Linked DNA regions of Drosophila melanogaster. The protein of the gene in region 1 interacts with the protein of each later gene in a pairwise test. Each region holds a gene or a part of one and is shown in the gene's direction. Other genes may lie near its edges. The genes, in order: CG15282, CG30184, CG1648 and Tsp96F.

Region 1 (5,171 bases):
ATAATTAAGTTGCTAAGTTTTTAATCAATTCTTACCAAGGATTAAGCAAGGTTATTGCACGACTGTAATGAACTGCATAGATAAATAAAAAGTTTTACAAGGCATAATTATTAGTATTATTAACTGGTTCATTTACGGATTTAATGCCCTTTTTTTGGGGCTCTTTTGGTTTTAATGTGCCTAAAATTAGCTGGGGTCAGGGAATGCCACTCCTGATTGGGATTATGAATATGAAGTCAAAGCCTACAAAAATCTCTTCCAAGTTTGGTTTTGTAAGTAAAATTCAGTTTTCTTCGCGTTCCAGCCGGAAGTGCACTTAGTATAAAAAAAAAAACGCGGTGAGGGCAAAAAGCGGGCCAAAAGGCAATAAAGAAAACTTCGCCGCCCTTCGAAGCGATGCGAGTGCAGTGGGAAACTTTTCTAACCCATATTAAAACATATTTGCGCAAAAATATGCAGATGCCCGCAGAGTGCAAGGAAGTTTTCACGAATATATGCAGGTTCCTGCCATATCTATATATGGACAGGTGGCGGCGGTGCGTTGGCAGTCAATTGCTCATTGACTTGGCTCAAAAATTGTTGAGTGTCGAGTTCTAAGTCCTAAGCCCCTGCTAACATGTTGGCGAAAGTTCCCGGCACCAGATACGGAAGAGCCGACATCTTCCTCTTCGGAATACCATTTCTTTCGGGCTTAGTTTCCAGTTGAGTTTACGTGAGCTTGGATTTCAAGCTGTGCGCGCACATAAGTTTGCGGCTTAAGCATGTGAAATTCATATGGATGGAAATGGAACCACCCACACGCCACCCCACATATTCAGCTCCAGGAATTTGCACCCACCTGCAGGTGGGGCATAACATTCTGACTGGGCTAATGCATTGCTAGCCACCCAAATAACCTAAGACATTGCGTCGCACGGGGGTGCCAAAGAAGTCAAGCCAAGTTACTAGTGCCAAAAGTTTAAAATTAAACGTAGTTATATCAAAAAAAAAACAGCTTGGTTGGAAACGTAGGGTACTACTGAACTATATATAACGAAGAATGTGTATCTTAAATAGTTTAAATGTTTTTTTTTTACTATTTTATTTAACCTTTCTTTCATTCGCCAATACCAACTTAACGTAAATCAAGAAACTAACGTAGTCAACAGTTTGTTGTTTACCTATCGGTGACGCAAATATTTAATTATAAATTCAGCTCGATTAAAGTTTAAAAGAGCAAAGAATGTCCCAAAAATGTTGCGTTGTAAGCAAAAGGCTAATTATGTTTATGCAAAGTGTTTTTTTTTTGAACTTATGGAACCTAATGGAATATAATTTGAACAAAATTATTGAAAATTGACGGTAATTGAAATGAATTTGAACAAATTTCAGTGCACGGCTTTGGGTGTCGTGTTGGGCCACCATCAAAGGAGTCAAAGAGCGTTGAATGTTGAATGTTGCAACTTTGACACGCGACGCAGACGTTGGCCCAGAGTGTTTTCCCCGGAGCTCTGCAATTTTAAGGGCCTAGGCCTCCCGAAAAGGGTTCATTAGACATTTTACCAAAATTACTGCACATTTCCAAAAAGCAACGGCTATATGATTAGTTTTGAAGCGGTGGTTTATTTGAAGTAGAGGGTTTACTTTGATTTAAGTTAAGTTGAGCGAGTTTGCGTTGTAAGTTACTTGAACATTAAACGGATAAAGTCACTAGTACCCACACTAAACAGCTTACTTGCCAACCGGGAAGAGGGACTTGTGGTGCCCGACTAAACACAAATTCGATGAAATAAAAATAAATTAGCTGCTTTAAATGAGCCAAATAAATTCATTTAGGGTTTTATGCGCTCCACTGAAGTATGCCAAAAGGCACCGTCTTCGTCGTCGCAGTCTTTCGCATCACCCTCTTTTCGGATGGCAGGGTTAAGAGCCAAGTTAAAGGCAACACGTATTGCCAAACTCGATTGCCGCTGGCGCCGCACACCAAATGCAATTTCACTTCACCCTCGTCGAGGTACGGTAAAATTTCCAGGGTCTCCGGTCTCCGGTCGCCAGTATTCCCCATTCGCTGCAGGTGATTCCCCATCGAGACACTTATCTATTGAGTGAGCTTGGTTCGCTTCGTTTGGACCGCTCTTGAAGTGAACGCCAACGAAATAAGAAAACAACAAAGTTTCTTTTGATTATGTCAATGGAATTTGTTTATCTCAACGAAATGTAACCGAATTGAAAAAAATATGTTTTTTTTACGCTCATTTGCATTTACTTTTGCCCGGATATAAATGTGGCAATTGGAAGGGGTGATTTGTTCAAATGTCCAGCTCAGTAAGATTCAATAATTATATATACACGTAACACATTAATGTGATTCTATGGTAAACATTAGAGTAAGGAAGCAAATTTGTTTTGAGAACCCCAGAAACAAAGGCATCATCAACAACGTCAAGTAGCATCAACAACGTCTAGTTTGGGTTCAATATATTGATTCTTGGAAACGTGCCTCTAGAAACTGAATAGCTTAGTCATAAATTCAGTAAAAATACTATTTAAATATAAATTGGCAAACTATTAAAATTCATATCAAAAGCCACGCACCTGGCGCCTGTTCCCCTAAAAAAAAATGGAAACCGGTCAATAACCACAACAAATTCAAAACCGGATTGGAAGAGAAACGCTGGTCACCTGTGAGGAAAGCCCCCACGTCTGGTCCAGTGTCTGGGACAAGTTTTTATTTCAGTGCGGGTAAAGAACCTCCGAAATTCAAACATTATATGAATTCAAAAAAATCGTATAAATAGAGAAAGACGTGACAGAAAGGGCACAGTATCGAGTGCAACATCGAAGCATCCTCATCTTCTGGGATATTAGTACAAATTGAATTCATTTTCAAATTCAATATGAAATTCTTGGTAAGTTTGGCCACCAGAGCTACACCTCGCAGGGATTAAGGACTTTATAAAAATAATAAACGGCCATTCAGGTGATCGTTTTTGTGGCCCTTATCGCCGTTGCTTCCGCGCTTCCTCAATTCGGATATGGAGGATTCGGTGGATTCGGAGGATTCGGTGGCCAACAGCAGCAGCAAGAAGGATTCGGCGGTTTCGGAGGCTTCGGAGAACAGCAACAGCAGCAGGAAAGCTTCGGTGGATTCGGCGGATTTGGAGGAATCGAGCAGCAGCAGCAGCAGCAACAAGGAGGCTTCTTCTAAGGCTGTTACTTTAGTTCCTCGACTAAAAATTAAAATAAATTATTTGAACGTATTAGTATAACAAACACAAAACAGTTTTTGTTTTTAAATACTCATTTACATGTTTTGACAATGGCTTATTGTAGGCCTTTAGATCGACAGAGATTTTATTAATGAGTAACCTTCATTTATTTCGCTTGCTTATAAATACGTTTGGGTTTATTTTTTTGGACATAAGCAACATCAAGAAAAATGAATTATTAAATTAAATTAAAAATTTGTGTTTCAACATAAAAAATTGTTTTTATTTAGCTAATCGAAAATCACTTAATGGGTTAATGACATTTTTGTGCTATAACAACATTAATTGCAAACACTTGAATAATTCGCAAATGATGTTGGCATAAAAACCAAAGGCAGATACTGACTCATGCAAAATTGTGAAATAACCAAATGTTCTGACAGCAATAATTTAACAAAAAACCTAATTTGATTAGCGAAGAGCATACGCCAAGAAGAGCTGATTGCAAACCTGTATTTTTAGTGGGCCCGTCAACCCCAGATACTTGAACGTTTTCAACAACAGAAAAAATCCCCTATAAACACAAACGTTCACAATGATTTGAACAGGGAAGTCCGAGCGGCGATCGCACCGTGCTCAACCAGTTTTGAATGGGCATAAAGCCTAACAAAAATTCAGATAAATACTCATAGCCAGCAGCCGAAACTCAAACAGTTGATTTTAGCATTCCGGTGAAATAAGATTGTTCGCTTGAGGAATATTTTCAATATTCAACATGAAATTCACGGTATTTTTCGCTAAAAATTGGCTAATATAGACATCTACGTTATTTTTTAGTTGAAACTAAATGTATTGTACTGTATGTATTATTTTTTTAGATAATCGTTTTTGTTGCGCTCCTCGCCTTTGCATCGGCCCAGTTCGGTCCGTTTGGTCAAATTATTAGGGGTATTGAACGATTTGAAGGTGGTCTGCAACAACAACAGCAGCAGCAGCAAAGCGGCTTTGGCGGTGGTCAGCAGCAGCAACAGCAGGAGGAGGGTGTCATCTTCAGAGGTCCTTTCGGCGGCGGAGTGGAGTTCTTCCAGGAGCAACAGCAGCAGCAGCAAGGCGGTGGAGGTCAGCAGCAACAGCAGCAGGAGAACCTATTTAACTTCTTCGGCTAAAGCTCCTTAGTGAGGGAAACTAGACATAGACTGACCACTATCTATAGAACTCAAAAGCAAGCCATTAACTAAAGCCATGATCGTAGAGATAAACACACGATAAATAAATATTTTTAAAAACACACAATTATAAACCAAGACATAATAATGCTTTTCTATAATCCTAGTTTAAATATTTAATACTAGTTCATGCAAAACCAAGCTAATTTTAGTTTAATAAAGCAATAACGCTTTGTCATATAAAATTACACGAAATCAAATACAAACAATTTGTTTACGAGGCCAAGGAGCAGACAATTTGCCTGCTATTTGGATGTGAATTCAGCAATGACTTCGTGTTTTGTGTCAAAATCGCGATGATGGCCATGGCCAATTGTTATGGCCAAAGTTTTAAGCCAAAAATCGCAAAACTCTAATGAGTGCTATCGTTGAAATCAGAGGAGAGCAAGTGGGTGTGGAAGGGTCGGTGGCATTTTTGGTTCCTTTATCCGAAAGCACCGAAACACCATCAAAGTCATTAAGCGGAAAACCCTTTTGGCTTCTTTTCCACGCATTTTCATTTCGCCTTGTAATGACTTCATCCCGGCTTCAGAGTCTTTGGGGTTTTGGTTCTGGTTTTGTTATTGGAGACAATTTCGAAGCCATCCTGTAGTTGCCTGTCTGACAAAACAACGCCAGTCAGCTATACAGCCAGCGCCATCCACCAAGAAAGCCAAGAGCACCAACACTCGTAACTACAAAACAACTTTTTAATTGCAATTAAATACGTAACAAGTTTTTAGTTGTAAGTGCGACTACGGAGCACACAGGGAACTTA
Region 2 (5,059 bases), on another chromosome or scaffold:
CGTTGCCCTGCGACTCAAACTCCAATGCCCTAATGCTGGCCGAGGGCATCAGCTTCGGCAGTGTTCCAGCCAATCTCTGCACATTCCTGATCCAGCGCGCTTGCACGAACGCCACGCTGGCCAACTACTTCTACTGGTACTTGTCCATCGAGGTGGAGGAAGTGGAGTCGGTGAGGAAGCAGGACGAGAGGGCCCACGACATGTACGCCATGGTGCTCAAGATGTTTCTGAAGGTGCTAGAGAACGGTGGGTGTAATTTAACGAAATCATGGCTCATTCTCTAATTCCCTAATTCTCTAATCCGCTCATCCGCACAGGCAACTTCAACCTGAGAGGCATCTTCTACAACCTCCGGAAGCAGCGGCGCTTCATCGACGAGCTGGTCAAACTGGTGAAACTGGTGGCCAAGGAGCCGGGAAATCGCAATAAGAAGACTGAGAAGTTCCAGAAACTGTTGGCCGAACAGGACATGTTCAAGGTGAACTTCACCAACTTCGAGCCCATTCCGTTTCCCCTGGATCCGGAGATCTACATCACCAAGATCGTGCCCATGCGCACATCGCTCTTCAAGAGCGCCCTGATGCCAGCCAAGTACGCCATGACCAACCAACAAACTCTACTCACTCACTGAATACTTCAATCCTAATCCTTAATCCTATTCGCAGGCTCACCTTTGTCACTTCGATTGCCCATCACGAGTACGCGGCCATTTTCAAGCACGGTGATGATCTGCGCCAGGATCAGCTCATCCTGCAGATGATAACTTTGATGGACAAGCTGCTGAGGCGCGAGAACCTCGACCTGAAGCTGACTCCCTACAAAGTGCTGGCCACCAGCTCCAAGCACGGCTTCCTCCAGTACGTCGACTCCTGCACCGTGGCGGAGGTGCTGGCGCGGGAGGGCAACATCCACAACTTCTTCCGCAAGCATCATCCGTGCGACAATGGACCCTACGGCATTTCGGCGGAGGTCATGGACACCTACATCAAGAGCTGCGCGGGCTACTGTGTGATCACCTATTTGCTGGGTGAGACTAAAGGAGTGTAACCAGGTGGATTCCGCTAATCCTTGGAATTTCCTCGCAGGTGTGGGCGACCGGCACTTGGACAACCTCTTGCTGACCACCAACGGCAAGCTCTTCCACATCGATTTCGGCTACATTCTGGGACGCGATCCCAAGCCCATGCCGCCGCCAATGAAGCTGAGCAAGGAAATGGTGGAGGCCATGGGCGGCATCAGCTCCGAGCATCACCACGAGTTCCGCAAGCAGTGCTACACGGCGTACCTGCACTTGCGGCGGCATGCCAACGTGATGCTCAACCTGTTCTCTCTGATGGTGGACGCCACTGTGCCGGATATCGCTCTCGAGCCCGACAAGGCGGTCAAGAAGGTGGAGGAGAACCTGCAGCTGGGCCTCACAGACGAGGAGGCAGTGCAGCACTTGCAGAGCCTCCTGGACGTGTCCATTACGGCGGTGATGCCGGCTCTGGTGGAGCAGATTCATCGGTTCACCCAATACTGGCGGAAGTAGAGGACATTGCTTGCACAAGAAATTGTGGGAGGAGCGAGTAATCCTAGTTCGGTTCAGCTGAGTTGTTTAACATCAAAAGTGTACATTAGATTAATACCTTATACTTATCAATACTTATTAATATTATTTATCCTTTAAATCCTAGTCGTAAGTTTGCTTTAGTCGTAGGTGGCCTGTAGCTAAAAGTCCGTTGTGCGGAACCAAATGTATCCACATATACTATATATCTTGTCACAATTGTAGTATAACCATTTAATCGGGCAAACATGCAGGTGCGCTCCAAGAAGCCCGTTTGGTTCCTGTTCAAGATGATGGAGCTGCTGCTGAGCCTGGGCTGCTGCCTCGTCCATTGGACCTGCTTCATGGAGGAGGGTGTGCCGCACATCTTCCTGCTGTGCGGAACGTACGGCGGCTCGGTGATCATATGCTTCATATCACTGATTGGAGCTTTCTACGCCGAGCGGCCGACGATGAAGCACGAGGCGCTGTTCGGTGGGATCTTGGGTGGCCTGCACATGGTCACCGTGTACGCCAACATGTATGTGGCCACTTTGGAGGAGTTCCGCACTGAGCGCTGGCCCAGCTTCTATGCGTGCTGTCGGGACAACGCCATTGTGGCTCTGTACGCCGGCGCCATTTATCTGATGCACTGCACCTTCGCTCTGGATCTCATGTTCTCCCACTCACGCAGTCGGGCGAATCAGAAGATGCATCCACAGCGGAGCAAGCGACCACTGCAGCTGTACTTCATCAGCCGGGGCGCGGAGGCCTATCTCAGTCGCTTCTGGTTCTTTCGGCGCATCGCCGCCAGGATGCTGACCAGCGCCCAGCCATCGGAGCATTCCGGCCGGAAGCGGCAGGTCTCGTCCTCCGAGTCGGACTCGGATGCCAAGGAGAGGGAGGAGGAGCGGATTAGGAACTCGGAGGTTTTCAAATAGCTCAAGTAATTAAATATTAACGTTCACCTGCTCGTGTGCTCACTGTAGTTGTGCCTTTTGAAAGCCCGCTGCTGTGCAGCCCTGGCGCCATCAGCTGTTCGCCGCATAACAGCCCCGTCTCTTGGAGCGCGCGCACTTTGACAGCTGTTCGTTTACAGTTCCTTTGGTTCTTGGAAGTTTGTTTGGCGCGCCGCGTGTGATTTTCGTTACTTTTGCCGGAATTGTGTCGATTTTGTGGATTTTTGCATTGGTTTAAGCCTGCGGAGGAGTCCAGCTTTAATGACGATGGCGAACGGTGCGGTGAGTTGCGGGGGGAACGCACTGCGTCGTCCACTTCGCCATTGTGCGGATGCATGGCTGGAAATTTCTGTCTGCAAACTTTTCCGATTTTCATAGTTCGATGCGTGGTGGAAACTTCTGCGGGCGGCGCTCGAGCTCTGGGTCTGTGTGCCTGTGGTTTTAGTTAGTTGCAGGTACTCGTTGCTAAAACTTTTGCTAAAAGTTAGCCGTTGCCACTAAAGTTGCCGCCCGAGGCAACACAAACAAACGAAAAAAAACGAAAAAAAACGGGACTAGCACACTCGCGGCCATGTGCATATGAACACTTAGACGCCGTGCCAAAACGAAAGGCACAGTGGGCCTTGGCTAACTCTGAAGATTGGAATTCTTCCCTTCAAGAAATTCCAATTTCTAGGACTTTCCCAATTTCCATTCTGACTTTGGAAGAGGCGGAAAACTGAGTGTGTAATCATCATTTCCCGTTTTCGCCTTTACAATTCACTCGATCTGTGCAATGTTGTATAGTAGCAGCAGCAACAGGAATCTCTTATCGGGAGCACTATGCCACATGCCACTCTTCCCGAAGAGAGCCCACTGCAGCTGCGAGTGCGAGTGAGTGGGTGGGTGTGCTACTGGCGAGCGAGCGAGCGAGCATGACTCACCGCTGCCAACTGCACTCAACTTGGCCTTTGTTATTGTCTGTGGCTGCAAGCCATCGAGCCACCGAACCACCAGGCGGCCCAGCCCCAATCCACTCCCTCCGCCCTCCGCTGCTAGCCCCAATTCCCCGGTCGTGGTCCTTCGAGCCGGTCCAAATGCAGCACGTGTTCCATTCGGTGTGCAAAGTCAGTTGGAATGCCAAGCTGGAGTTATGTGTGCGCACTTGGGGTTGTGTGGGTGTGTGTGGAAAGCGTGTGCATCTGAAAGATACATTTTCTAGATCGCAGCATGTTTGGTTTAGTTGGCAGCTAAATTTCACTACGTGCAGTTTGCGGTGGGTGTTGGGCCCAAAGTCTCGGAATTTCAACTATGTTTCGCAACAATTTAGCCGGCTGGTGATAACGATAAAACGGCGAGTTTCCGAGTCGATTGAGTGAATAAGATTAATCGTTATGGTGATGAGTTCGTTACGATGAGATACAAAGGCTGAGATAATTAGAGCAAAAATAGGTGATTCATACATACATATGTAAGTTAGCTAACTTACTTGAAGTCAATGCATGCAGAATTGTCATTGTTTGTTGAACTTATCATATGGAAATAGTAGTAATTGTGGTTGAATCTTAGCTGGCAGCACGTTCCATTAATTGGTAATCGCTTTTGGCTTTTGGCGCACTCTTTTCGTTTCGCCTCATTTCGGATTCGTGGAACCCAAAGGTGGTTCGTCTATAATTTCACAATCGACCCATGGGTGGTGCACCATTGTAATTGAAGTCTTAACTCCGACTTCCTATGTGCAGTCGCTTTTAGCTGGAACTTTTCGGGCCGTCGACGAACCCAACTCCCTAAACGAAGGTTCCCATCGTAGCACCGGAGCCCCGTAAGCCCCCATCTCGGGTTTTGGCCCCAAAAACGCTGTGTACGTGCCGCTAGTTCAGCTCCATAGATTGTCCGGTGGTAATCAGTTTACGCTGACGACGTTTGCTACCACTTTCCACCGCCACCCCTCTGGCCACGCCCCTGATCATGCAGATACAGCTGGGGTCAGCCAACTAGGCGAAATGGTATAGGAACATACTTGAAATATGATTGTTACTAGCGTATTTCAGATTCAACAACTTAGTATTTGTGCTTCTACTCCATTGTTCAAACCCAATGTGGTTACTATATGATGGCCCTATAATGCTGACCCCGTCTGTGGCGCATTCATATTCAAATCCAAGTGCAAGTCGTGTAGCTACATGCGAAACTCTGTGTAAACCGAAGTGGCTCTCATTTATTTTTCGTTCAATTCTATTTCGCTGCCGTTCGTTTTTCATGAACCGATACTAACACGAGTGCTACTATTTCAGTTGGTTACTAAACATTTAGTGCCCCCCATACTCCCCACTACCCCTCCCCCTGCCCCTGCGGATAGCCCCGCGAGCATCGAGCGCAGCGGGCTGACTAAGCGAACGAGCTGAGCGAACGGCGGCGGACGAAATGTCGCGCCATATTAACCATATTGCGCGGTGCCAAAAGGGGGAAGGCTTTGCATACTGCCCATGCCCATGCCCATGCCCCAGTATGTGGGGCTCCCTATCCCCTCGTTCCTGCCTCCTGCCTCCGTCCTGCCCCTCGCATCTGCCCGCATCTGTCGCCTGGCAGTTAG
Region 3 (5,832 bases), on another chromosome or scaffold:
AATTTGCTCACCCGCCAGTGGGTCAGGTTTAGGGTCATTCAGTTTAATTGGCTATTAGATACACTCGAAGAAAACGAGCCGGAAAAGTCGCATGGGGTGCTGTAATTGCCAGTAATGTTAACCCTCTAAATTCCTTGATGGCAATTCATCCGCCTAATAATGGGCATATTGCGAGTAACTATTATATCATATATAGATGTTATAAAATTGTAATACAAGTTTAATGCAAATAAATTAAAAGATTATATATATGGTTTTGAAATAAGCAATAATTCTTAGCAGTATTCTAACTCATTCGAAGGTAGCAGAGCTTTCTTCTTCTGGAGTATGATGATGATAGATGGATATAAAATGCTTCAGTTCCTTTGACCCTGATCTGTCCTCCCATTTAGTTTGTATCTGCCGAAGTGAGTTAATTGCTGGCTATGAACTCGCTGGTAATCTTCAACAGCTCAAAAACGCTAAGAATATTAAGTTCTGTGATTCGAGCAACTGGAGTGACTTCATAGTCATTAGCATAACCCGCCCGAAGGGCTAGATGTCTGACCCGGCCTTGTTCTTTCCGATTATTGATTTACCTGGCAGGGTCGTGACATCAGCCATTGGATTGTCCGTGGCCAGGACACGAATCGCCCGCCTTTCCTTCTGTTGCCAGCTGACTCAGACGACCTTCGGTCGGATGACGATTGCGCCGGGTGGCCACAACAATTCGTGGGGCGTGTGAGTACCACGCCACCCCTTTCTGCCACGCGCGCTACTCTCACATATATAATTCTTTCGTATATTGTATCTCGATTGTGCAGTTGTATCTCACATGACATCATCAGCAATGGCAACAACAACGGCGGCCCCAGTAGCTCCATCGATTCATCACGGATTGTAGCTCTTTTTTTTAAGGCATCCAGAACTGGTGTGGAACGTGAGTCGGCAGACCTCAAATCGCAGTAACTCATAGATATTCGTTCCATGCCCGTATGTGTGTCCGTTCCGAGCTGGGTTCCCATGTAGCCCAAGCTACAGCTACAGCTACAGGTTTTCCTCTATCCGAGGCTTCTGCGCATTATTTCAGCTGCGAGTGCGACATCGACGAAAACAAAATCAGAGAGCAAAATCAAAATCCAAAACTAAAACCAAACCAAAACCAAAACAAAAACGACGCCAGAGGCTGTGAGAGAATCTGGGCTTATTGTGTTACCTTTTGGCCATGCTTCTAGCCGGTTTTCAGTGTTGACCACAAGTTGCCACAGTTTTGAATAAAGACTGAAGAACAAAATGCGTCGTATTACGCAAATGCCTTAAATAGGGCCGCTGGCCTTAGGAATTCCGCGTGTGTAAGCCATTAAGATATATATGTACATATATCCAAAGGATTTGGCGGGGAATATTAAACACTGCGGTTGCCTTATACGTAAGGCCACCTTTTTTAAGTTTAATAACTTATCATTCTACGAATGTATTTTAAGTATCTTTAAATACGATTTTAATTTGGAAAACAGCACAATATACTTAGCATGCATCTCTATACATATAGTTACATATTGTACAGTGTAGATTGCACGATTCCTTCCACTTAAATTGCTATTCTAGATTCTAGATTGTTAAGCAAGTCCAATGCCACATACATACATTCCTTAGCCATTAGCCATTAGCATTTGAAATGTCTGAATTCCCTTTGATTCACCCTGTTTTTTTTGAGCAGTAAAAGTAATTTTCAACACCTCGGCCGAGCCCACACATTCCATAATCTCGATACCCAGCAAGCGTAGAATAGAAACTATTATTTTCGCACAATTTTCGGCTCCTGCGGTGGCGATTGGCTCATTAAATGCGAAATGCGAAATGCGAAATTGGCCGAAACTAAATTATTTGGAAATGAGCCGAGTGTATGGGGCCATTAAAGTATCTCTGCGGAGAGAACCGAATCAGAATAAACACATTCCCGATCACAATCAGAAAGCGTGAATAGACCGCACTAGAAACTTGGGGGCGATTTCATTCGCCGGCTGCCCATTATGACATCACATACGCCGAATAATTTGAATACTCGAGCTTTGTTTGCCTCATTCGCATACAAGCATACTGTATATTACAAAGAAATTCCTCGGCTATTTCCGCCCGTTTCCGTTTCGCCCAACCGATTCGCACCCGGTTCCGAGTTGAGCGGCACAATGTTTCTATTTGAGTGGACGCACACGTCACTCCCAGTGAATGCAGATTCGAGGGGACAGCAAAAGCTGGCGCTCGTTAATTTCTATTAAATTGCGAATATAAGTCTCAAGTCTCGAATTTTAAGGCTGACGCCATGGGGCTGGCGATCACGATTTCAACAGCCCCTAGTTGCGCAGTTTCTATTAATAGGAAAGTGTCCCAGTCTAATCGATCCGATTTAGTCATGTAAATAGTTCATGCTCCAGCTGCTTTGTTTATGTTTCGGCAATTACCTGTCTGGAATTTGGAATCTGAAATCTCAAATCTCGCATCTTCGATCTGATCGGCGCTCCACCCTGCTGATTGCAATCAGGCTATAAATTATAATTAGCGCCAGGCCAGAGCTTAGTTAGCATTCAGAGGGCCAGTCAGCATGTTTCCTAGTCGCCAAAACCAAAGTAATCCCATCCAGCCAGCACAGTCAGGATCTAAAATGCACTCCTCATTCAATCCCCAGCTTCCTTGAAGAACTTCGGTGACAAGACCGCCAACCTCTTCAGCAAGAAGAAGGATGAGGCCGAGAAGCTGGCCAACGAGAAGGCTGCCGAGGCCCAGAAGCTAGCCGAGGAGCAGGCCAAGAAGGTGGGCCAGTCCGTACAGCAGACCAAGGGCGAGGCCGAGCAGTTGGCCGCCAGCACGGGTGAGTAACGAACATCCAAAAAATAATGAATGTAACACATAAAAGATGTCTTAGAGAATTAATTGGAGTTATTAATTCTAAAGACTTCCAAAAACTCTTGCAACGAAGAATTGAATGAGTCCCGTTTGAGATAACTTTCAAAATCAACTTTCAGTTCTTGCTAAAAATGTTTTCTCATTAGCATTCCATTTCCAATTTATCTAAAACGCAAATCTTTTAAGCATATCAAACACAAGAGAACTTAATAAATGGAATTCTTTAGTGACGCGTTGACGTAAAACATGTTTCCAAGAATAAGATTCGCATTTTTGAAAACATTTCTTCATAAATATTGAAATATTTCTATAATTGTGAAAAGCAATTTAATGTGCTAGAGATTTATAACTAAACAGAACATCAATGCTATGTTTTATGCTGGAGCAAAGCCCGACCAATTCAATAAATATCTTTAGGAGCACTTTTAAAGATATTTTGTAAGAATTTTTCCCACTAATATCTCTCTTTATCATACAGCCAAGGAAGCCGCTGCTCTGGCCACCGCGGAGGCTCAGAAGGCTGGACAGGCGATTGACCAGGGTGTGAACCGTGCCGCCGGAGCCGTCAACCAAGGCAAGCAGGCGGTGGACAACACGGTGGCCCAGGCGGCGGCCGTGGCCCAGAACTCCAAGCAGGTGGCGGCCAATGTGGCGGAGGCCTCCCAGCGAGCGGCCGCCAATGCGGTGGACCAGACCAAGAAGGCGGCCAACGACGCCATCAACAAGAGCGTGAAGGCCGCCGAGAACGTGGCGGACCAGAAGCTGAAGCAGGCGGAGGGCGCCATCGATGGGGCACTGAAGCAGACCAGTCAAACGGTGGACCAGAAGCTGCAGGAGGCCAACCAGTATGTCGACCAGAAGCGCCAGTCCGTCGAGAAGACCGTCCAGGATGCGGCCGGACAGGCCCAGGAGTCTGCCGGACAGCAGGCCAACGCCCTGTTGGGCAAGCTGCATCTGGGTCAGAAGTAGAGGCGTCTCCCTTCGCGGTGCCACCTAAAATATCTTGATGTGAAAATGCTTTAGATACAAAAACAAAAAAAATAGAAAGGAATTTGCTTCAATGTAACGAGTGCCAGTAATGTGATTGCTAAATCCTCAATTGAATATACACAATATATATATATATATATATTTACATATTTTTTGAATATCGCGCGGACGGATTATTTTGCAGCCGCTGCTTTCGATGTGAGCATTTCAGCACATCCTCTGTCCGTATCCGTACAAAGTGTAATTAACCCCTTCGTTCTTCTTCTTCGGCCGAATTTTGTTACTTTGAGGCATTTGATATTTTATATACAGCTGCGCTGAGTATGCTTTTAATATACGTATATTCTGTTTATGTAGAGATGTATGATTAAGTACCTTTAACTCTTGCACAACACATTGCAAATGTGTTTTTAATATATTGGATTCGAATGAGATTTGTGGTCTTTCAATTGGTGGGGGTGCCACTAAGCAAAGCGTATTATATGTATATATTTGGATATACTGATGTTATGTTGATTATATTATTACTGAAACTTTTATTAACTCATTTTCAATTTAGCGCCAAATGGTGATGTATGGTAATACTGTAATCTGGCCACACTGAATTTACTTCGGCTGCAAGCGCAAATAGCGCCACCTACATGTGGGATAGAACGCTGAATGGTTTGAAAACAGGGTATCCATGTTTTATCTCGCTTTTACCGTTTCATTCAAAAAAATTAAATTACTTTTTAATGAAGTTTTCAAACTACAAGTTTACTTGATGTATTTATTTGGGCTTACTATTTAATTACTGACTTATCTTGGCCATTGGTTGTTCAGAAAATAATATTATTTCTGGACATATTTTGAGCATATAATTACAGCTATATACAATTTCTTTAATAAAACCAATAAATCAGTTATAAATTCTACACATTCCACTGTTCACCCAAAAGTGGTAACATTTTATTTTGCTTCTAAGACAAAAGAAGTTTTTTCCGGCTTACCCTTTCCCCTTCCTCCAGAGCTGCCTGTCTCATTACAGAACCTTTTCACAGATCCAAGGTGAGCAGCAGGGGAAACTTTCGCAGAAAAGCGGACCATGGAGATGGACGGATCTATACAAATAGACCGAAACATGCAGAAATCTGCTAATAGAAGAGGTCATATTGTGTACTCCGATATGTCGGGCAACTTTTCGTCGAACAGAAGCCGAAAGTTGTGTTAGGTTTTAATTATGGGAAAAGTTTGTTGTGGCTAACAAGTGACCCCGGTGCATTGCAACGTCAATTGAACGCACAACTTCAAAGGACCAAAGGACGAAAGGACCAAAGGACGAAAGGACGCTAGGAATGTGTGCAAAGTATTGGCAGCAAAGTGCTGACATAAATTCAGGTAAGAGCGATTTTTAATTTCAGATAAGTGCGCCTGCTGACTGGAAAGGCGAATGATAAATGCATTCCATTTGCGATTCAAGTACTAGTGGGTGCGAGGCGCCAAATTCAAATTTATGCCGGCCACGCAAAAGTCGCGCCAATTAGGTTAGCCCAAGCGAGTTGATTTAAAGTTAAGCGATACGAGCGGCGCGATTAATTACAATAACTGTTTATCAACACATATTAATCATGGTTTAACATGCTCCCAGCTCGTGTTGACCCAAGCAAAATGGCGTGCAGCGGAGTTCCGGTCATGTTGGGTATGCCCACTCCATACCCTCCATGGGCTTCCTTTAATTTTCAAAGTTTAGAGGGCGACATAAAGTGAATATATTTGGTGAGCGTAATATCGTTTTTAATATATTATGACCTTATTTGTTGGTATTGCCATGCGTTTTTGAAACACTCACGTCTCTCCCAGCAGCTTGATGCCCTTTTGATTGACCCTTTGGTAATTCATGAGTGCTCAAACAGATGCTTATCCGCTTTTTAAGCCGTGACCAATTCCACTTATGAGCATATTTTACACGCAGCCAGCGGC
Region 4 (6,874 bases), on another chromosome or scaffold:
TAAATTTCCATATTTCACAAATAGATATCTCTAAAACAATAAGAAACGTTTTTTTTTAAATTGAACACGTTTTGTTTTCTGTGTAGGGAAATTATAATAACAACAACCGGTGTGAGAAAATAACAGATTGTCCGCATGGGATTTACAGGCAGCAATAACAACAATTAACAGACAAGAAGAAGGCCGTAAAAAGCAGTTAAAATTGGAATAAATTATAAAAGCGTTACCCAGTTTTCCACGATGCCAGTTTTCCATTGTTATTGCCACCAATTCTATAGTATTTTCACACACACAACGCACTCATACACCCACGCAGGGTTGTTGCACTTGGCAAATGGAAATGTAAAGGCGCTGTTATTAGAGCGGCGCTCTGCTAACTCGCTAATGACAATAGGGAGACAGAGCGGGATAGTTGCGAATGACAATAAGAGAGACAAAGCGGGACAGTTGGCAACTTCCTTGGTCGGTGTTGTTGTTGCTTCAATCATGTCGCTTTTGTTGCTATTGTTGCATGTTGCCAAGTGCCGTTGCTCGCACTAATTTATGTTGACTGTTGGCAAATGTAGGTGCATGTGTATTGGTGTCTCTTTTCATGTTTGTGTGCGGAATGTAAATGATTGAAATTCGTACATATGTACATATGTATGTAATAATGTATAAATGAAGCGATGGCCAAATTTATAGGGATTCTTTAAAGCTCCGAAATCAAGAAATATACAAAATGTCACGTATTTTTACAGGTTAATTAAAACTTGTTTGAGCCCAAATAACCCACATTTCTTCTCATTTTATATTTGAAAACAGGTTTAATCCATTTTAACTACGCTTTGCTTAGTGCTTTAAATAATCCTGATATAGAATTCAATATTCATGTCTTTCAAAAATTGAGTTTAAAAGTTTCTGTTAATTAATTAACAATTGTTACACAACTGTATCTGTGTCTGTACATTTCATTTTGCATTTGAATTAGTGTTGTTCATTTAATTTTTCTCGTCTCCCACAGTTTCTATCTCCCTCTTTCACCTCCTAGATGCAACAAATTAAGTTTCCCACACATTGCAATTTCAAGAGGGCGACAAAATGGAGAGGGGAGATGGAAAACTGTTAACGAGCGCTAATTAAAATGAAATTATGTGGCGGGTGTAAAGTTACAGTATCCAAAGTTGACACAATTTTCACAGTTTAAAGCGGTTATCGAAAATGAGCTACATAATTAGCCAAAATCATTGAGAAAACGCCGCTCGCATCACTCACGCATAAACTTACATATGCGCACACACACACGCAAACACTTTCTAATTTGAAACGCCCCAAAGTGGGGAACAAAAACAAAATAAAAGAAGTACCAAGCAATTGGCTTCGCTGTAACTGCCCACGACGAATGTGAAAGTGAAATTGGCGAAGATACAGCATTCGCAGTGGCCAAGGGGCGAGGGGTATACCTCTAACATAGAAGAGAGTGGACTTTAAACATAAATATTTACCGCTACCTTCTACACAGTAGTTTATTTCGTGAGAAAGAAACACAATATAAGGGTAGCTTTTAGAAAAGCTGTACTTTTTTCTATTAAAACTTTTCAAAATATTAAATGAAACCGTATATATTATTATTCACATTTTTATTAGGATTTCTAGCAAGCTACTACATATTACTAATCCAATCTTGCTTGTAAACGTTTGCTAATATAATTATATTTACGTTGAAAACAGTGAAATGCGCTACATTAGCACCGCCGACGGGGGAACCAATTAAGTTTTTAAGTGCACTGAACGCGGAAAGCATAAAAACAAGTGCGTAAAGTGGGCGCAACGTTTTTCGTTTATTATGCAAAAAGAGGGGGGGGGAGGTAGGGGCTTTACTTTGGCAAAGACTGGCTTGCAGCGCTTGAGAAATTTTCAGTACGACTAAAGCTTAGGCTGCGCTTTAAGGTTTTTTCCTCGTTTTTCCATTTCGTGTTTGGTTACACTCCACTTCGTTCCACTTCATTCCATTTCCATTCCACAAAACTCCAACTTCGCTCCACTGCGTAACAAAATTACAAGACACACTCACACAAACTTGCAACAAGCCGACAACAACAACAACAGCAATAAGGGAAGGGGGGAAATTGTCATGTTTCTGATTTCAATGCAATCGAAATATATATTGAAAAACGTATGTGGTGCACTCGATACTCCCCAAAAAAGTTGGGGGACTTTTCGCTTACTTTGCCTTCACATTCACATTCGCGTTTGGCTGTATTTTCCTTGGTTTTTGTTTTTCCCTTTGCACCGATGTTCGTTTTCGCGATAAAAAGGTGTCTGCTACATTTTCACGCGCCTTTCATTTGCCTGCGAGCCGCTTTTCATGCATATTTCCACGATCTTCGGCGGTCGCTGCACTTAAACGTTAGACAGCCATTTTGCATTTGTTTCTATTAGTAACTATTGCGGAGGAGAAACAACAACGAATTAAACATTTCACGCTTTAGGCCATTTTCGCCTGCGCGAACAGTGTGACCGTTTCGCAGAAGAATGAACAAAGCATGAACTATTAAGGTCACATTTCAAACTGTTTACATTTACAGATTTAAATATTTTGGGAAAATCATAGCCAAAGTAAATCAAAAACCTGGAATATCCTAATTTTCAATTACCCACTTTCATAGTAATAATTAAATAGACATGTTAAAATAATGTAAACAACCACAAATTTATACTTTAAAATGAAATCTACTTTAAATATGGTGATTATAGCTGAAACATTGGGGATAATAGTTAGTTAGAATATCTAAATTTTTAATTTTTAACTTTCATAATAACAATCAAAAGGTTATTTGAACATTATGTAAACACTGAAACTAAATTACTTTTAACATTCAAGTGAAGTTTTTATTTTATTGGGAAAATTGGCAATAGAACTTATCCAAAATATCGATAGGCCACTTTGGTTTGCGTATAGGCTGCAAATCCAAGCAGGTTGCAAGCCATGCTAAGCCTCATCAAAGTTATTCAACCACTTCTTTGGTATCTTCTAAGGGTCACCACTTTTCGGTTTTTAGCCTTTCTATACCCGCTGGTATATTTGAACGGCCGAGCTAATGGTCGCACTGATACAAGAATTTTACGTTGGACGGACGCCTCGATGCACAAATAAAATTTTTAAAACAAATCGGGTGCAACGGCCAATCGCGCAAACAGTGGCTCAAATCGGTGGATTTTAGCACGGGAAATTTTAAAAAAATTTGAAAAATATAGTACAATCGAGCGGGTGTTTTGAAAAAGTGCAAAAGGTCGAAAAGTGCAGGCGACACTGCAGTTCGGGGTTCCTTGGAAAAAGAGCATCTCCAAGTGGTTGAAAAACCAGTTAAATTGCAGCTACTTTTTAAGGAGTTACCTATTTAAGAATATCAATCCGCGCCATGGGTCTCAACGGCTGCTGTTCGTGCGTCAAATATCTGATGGTCCTTATAAACATTTTATTCTGGGTATGTAGATTCCAGCAGCAGCAGCAACAACAACAATGCGAGATTCGGTTCTCTCCCATCACAACAACAACTGGAACACACGGACCTCCTTTTCGCGCGCGTGTGTGTGGGTGTTGCGTGAGCGAATGTGTGTGTGTTGTGTATTCCCTACGCCCCTCTTTCTCACGCTTGGCGCGCGGGCGGAGGGAGGAGCCGTGCGCACGCTCTTTGGAGTCCTACCGCTCTTTCAGTCCCTCTTTCCACTCTCTCGATCCCAGAGGTGCCCAAAACATAAGTTGAAACTTATTTAAGTACGGCTTGAAATATTTAATCGAAAAGGAAGTAAAAAATATAAATAAATAAATAATAAAATAAATATAATAATATATTAACTTAAATATTTTTTTTTTAATGAGCGGGCTTAAAAACATTAAATGGACAAGATTATATAAATATTCAAGTACGCGGTTAATTAAAAACATTAATAGAAGGGTTTTTCTTTTTGAAATTAAACAAATCGGTTTTGTTTGTTATGAACTATTTGACTTTAAATTATTTTCTACCATTTATAACTTCAAAACTTCAACTGGCTTTTAAAAGCGACATCACTGTATCTCTCCATCTCCCGCTCGCACTCCCTACCGCTCTGCTCGTACTCCCGCATAAAAACAATAGAAGTTCCGTTGTGGGAGGGGACACACACACACACAGACAGATAAACATTTAAGCATCTCCATTCCCACCTCCCACTGTTTTCTTTTCCCTCCACATGTTTGTTCAGTTGTTTTTCTTTTGCTTCTGTCTCTTCCTGTCTCTCTTTTTTTGTTTTATTATTTTTATAACGTATACGTGCCGTTGATATTTTTACAAACTTCGGTTGGCTTAATTCGGTAAAAAAGGACCTCTCCTCACCCCAAAAAAAAGGGTTTTACTTTCTTTGGCCAACTTATCTGCTTGTTGTTTTACGCAATTTTCGACTTTCAACATAGCCTCGTTAGGCTTTCAATTGTTTCCATTCAATTACTATCTGCCACAGCGATTGTTTGCGTTTGTTTTGAGTTTCCTTGAGTTTTTCTTGGGGTTTCCTCTTGTCTTCCGCGGCTTGCGAAATCAGTTTCGCTTTTCCTTTGGGCAACAAATTTAAAATTTTGATTCTTATGCGGGCTGATTTCTAATTTTTTTTTCGTTCGTTTGTTGATTGTTGCTGCCTTTTTTCGATTTCTGTCTATAGTATTTATTAGTCAAAAGCTATTTTCGAATACGGGCGAGGAACAACACAAACTTACGCGTCCGTTCAGTTTTTCGTTGTTGTACACAGAAAGAAAATACTGATGCCTAGCCAAGTTTCGTGTTTGGAAACTTTCGAATACCTTTCAATTATTTTTCGTTTATTGTATATATGTCATGTAAAAAAAATTAAAATTAACCGATCCCAATAAGATTATATCCAATAATTGGTTTCTGTGTAATGTTCCTTGATCTGTGATGTTTTAGTATTCATCGTTGTTGTTGTTGGATGCACAGTGGTGTGTTTGATTTCAGTGGAGGAACAATGAGCGATAGAAATTGTGATGTGTTTGTGATGCAGTTCGTTTCACTAATCGTTTGAACTATTTTTAGAGCGATTTATGGATGAAAGTGCGTCAGATATTATTTTATATAAGACTTTTTATACATTGTTTTGAGGCTATTCTTAGCCAGGGCATGTTATCAATTACCCCACAAAGCCATAATAAATTTAATAATAGTATTTTTATATAACTTCGCAAAAAATGACCACTGTCCGATTAGTTTTGAATCTCGCTCTCCACTGTGCATCGATTTCCAAACATTTCCATTTTCATCGTCGCCGTGGGGCATCGTGATCAAACGCCACGATCTCTGAGGACGCTGACGCTCCAATGGGGCCGATATCCCACATCCAAGATGCTGGGGGAGGCCTATGCCATAAGCGTCTAAAATGCTAAACGGCCGGCGCTGTCGTCATTGAAGTTGACAGTGACCAAAACTGAAAGATTTCCAAATATTCGGTCGACCATCTGACAATCCTATCCTGTCCACCCACTAAAAAAACCATTTATTTCAGCACAGTCAGACTTCCATAGTGCAGAATTCTTAAATTCCTGAAAAAAATGTAATCTTTTGCTGTGAATAAAATAATATTTAAAAATATTTCTCCAAGTAACGAAGCTGGCCTGTATCTATTTTCAATTCGCTGTGACATGTCACATCTACATACTTAATTCGCTGTGCTATTTTTCACTCAATTATTCATGAGTGGCGCTTCATTCATTTTTCAGTTTGTATTTTCAGCTTATGGCTGATGCATGATGGCTGTTGGCTGCGATTTGCCATCGATGCGGTTAATTGTGGGACAAAACTGTGACTGGACATGCAATGCAAGCCCAGCTGCCTTTTGGCCCCATTTTATTTTTTTTTTTGCAATTTAGCAGCAGTAAAATGCTCTCTCGTTTTCCGCTTTCGACGCCTCGGCTCTGAAAACTGGGTCAACGAAGGACTCTGTACATTTATTGGCCCATTCGGCAGGATTTTTGTTTGTTTGTCCTGGACACGCGACATAGTGTCAGATGTGTAAAAATATATGTGTGTGAAAACGTTCGGGGAATCGTAAAAATTCCAACAAACAGAGCTACAAACAAGGCGTGGATTCAGTTCGTTCAGGGATAATGGGACTGATTCAAAACGAGGTCAACTTTTGTTCCCTAAAAGGATAAGGGAATTGAGGTTTATCCAAAGTAGTATATACATACACATACTTTATAAGAGCTCTAGGAATAAACCTCTTCTTCAGAAACATTTTTTTTTTTAATTCAACACATGAACAAATTCAAGATTATGTTACTGATCCATACCCGAAAACCTGACCTGGAAAAATAAGTAAAATCTATGCAAACAAGGGCTTCTGGTTACAATGTACTTACTCAATAAACTGCCCTCGAATGGGGCAACATTGTATTACGTTTCCATGAGTAGTTTTTCCGTTAGCTGCACACATGCACATTCATGAACTTTAGGGCCAGCATATCGTGCACTTTGTGGCACACTTTTTGTCTCGCTCACTTTATGGCAGCTCTCTCTTTCGTGGACCACCCACATAAAAGCCGGTCTCCGCTTCTCTTATATTTCATAAGATTTTCATGAAATTTACGAGACTTCCTCATGCTTTTTCATCCGTTTTTCCTGGGCGCCAAAAACTGTATCTTATATTTTGCTGTATCTTTAAGTTAAATAGATATTTGCTTATTGCGAGATCCACTGCGTAATCTTATCGGAAAGCACTGATGCTCTTGGCAATTACAAAAGCTTGCGGGCTGAGAAAAAATACGAGATAAGAAGTGTTTTGTATTTGGAAATGCTTCTCAGTTAGCCATCGGTTCTTAAGTGGTTCTAAATTTACATATTTCCCA

The links.
Region 2: the proteins of CG15282 (region 1) and CG30184 interact in a two-hybrid assay, tested with the Drosophila melanogaster proteins (one large-scale study listed by BioGRID).
Region 3: the proteins of CG15282 (region 1) and CG1648 interact in a two-hybrid assay, tested with the Drosophila melanogaster proteins (one large-scale study listed by BioGRID).
Region 4: the proteins of CG15282 (region 1) and Tsp96F interact in a two-hybrid assay, tested with the Drosophila melanogaster proteins (one large-scale study listed by BioGRID).

Annotation. Positions count from the first base shown.
Region 1 is NT_033779.5:14,709,866-14,715,036, forward strand, and holds CG15282 (uncharacterized protein), read left to right. Parts: upstream 1-2,605; 5' UTR 2,606-2,721; intron 2,722-2,777; 5' UTR 2,778-2,876; coding exon 2,877-2,888; intron 2,889-2,959; coding exon 2,960-3,187; 3' UTR 3,188-3,253; downstream 3,254-5,171. Other genes in the region: CG34165 (uncharacterized protein), read left to right, coding at 3,964-3,975, 4,067-4,354.
Region 2 is NT_033778.4:23,562,282-23,567,340, forward strand, and holds CG30184 (uncharacterized protein), read left to right. Parts: upstream 1-1,691; 5' UTR 1,692-1,797; coding exon 1,798-2,469; 3' UTR 2,470-2,499; downstream 2,500-5,059. Other genes in the region: Pi3K59F (phosphatidylinositol 3-kinase 59F), read left to right, coding at 1-246, 318-591, 666-1,027, 1,086-1,531.
Region 3 is NT_033778.4:9,809,498-9,815,329, reverse strand, and holds CG1648 (uncharacterized protein), read left to right. Parts: upstream 1-2,555; 5' UTR 2,556-2,581; coding exon 2,582-2,606; intron 2,607-2,665; coding exon 2,666-2,848; intron 2,849-3,361; coding exon 3,362-3,852; 3' UTR 3,853-4,011; downstream 4,012-5,832.
Region 4 is NT_033777.3:25,877,609-25,884,482, reverse strand, and holds the start of Tsp96F (tetraspanin 96F), read left to right. Parts: upstream 1-3,055; 5' UTR 3,056-3,401; coding exon 3,402-3,467; intron 3,468-6,874.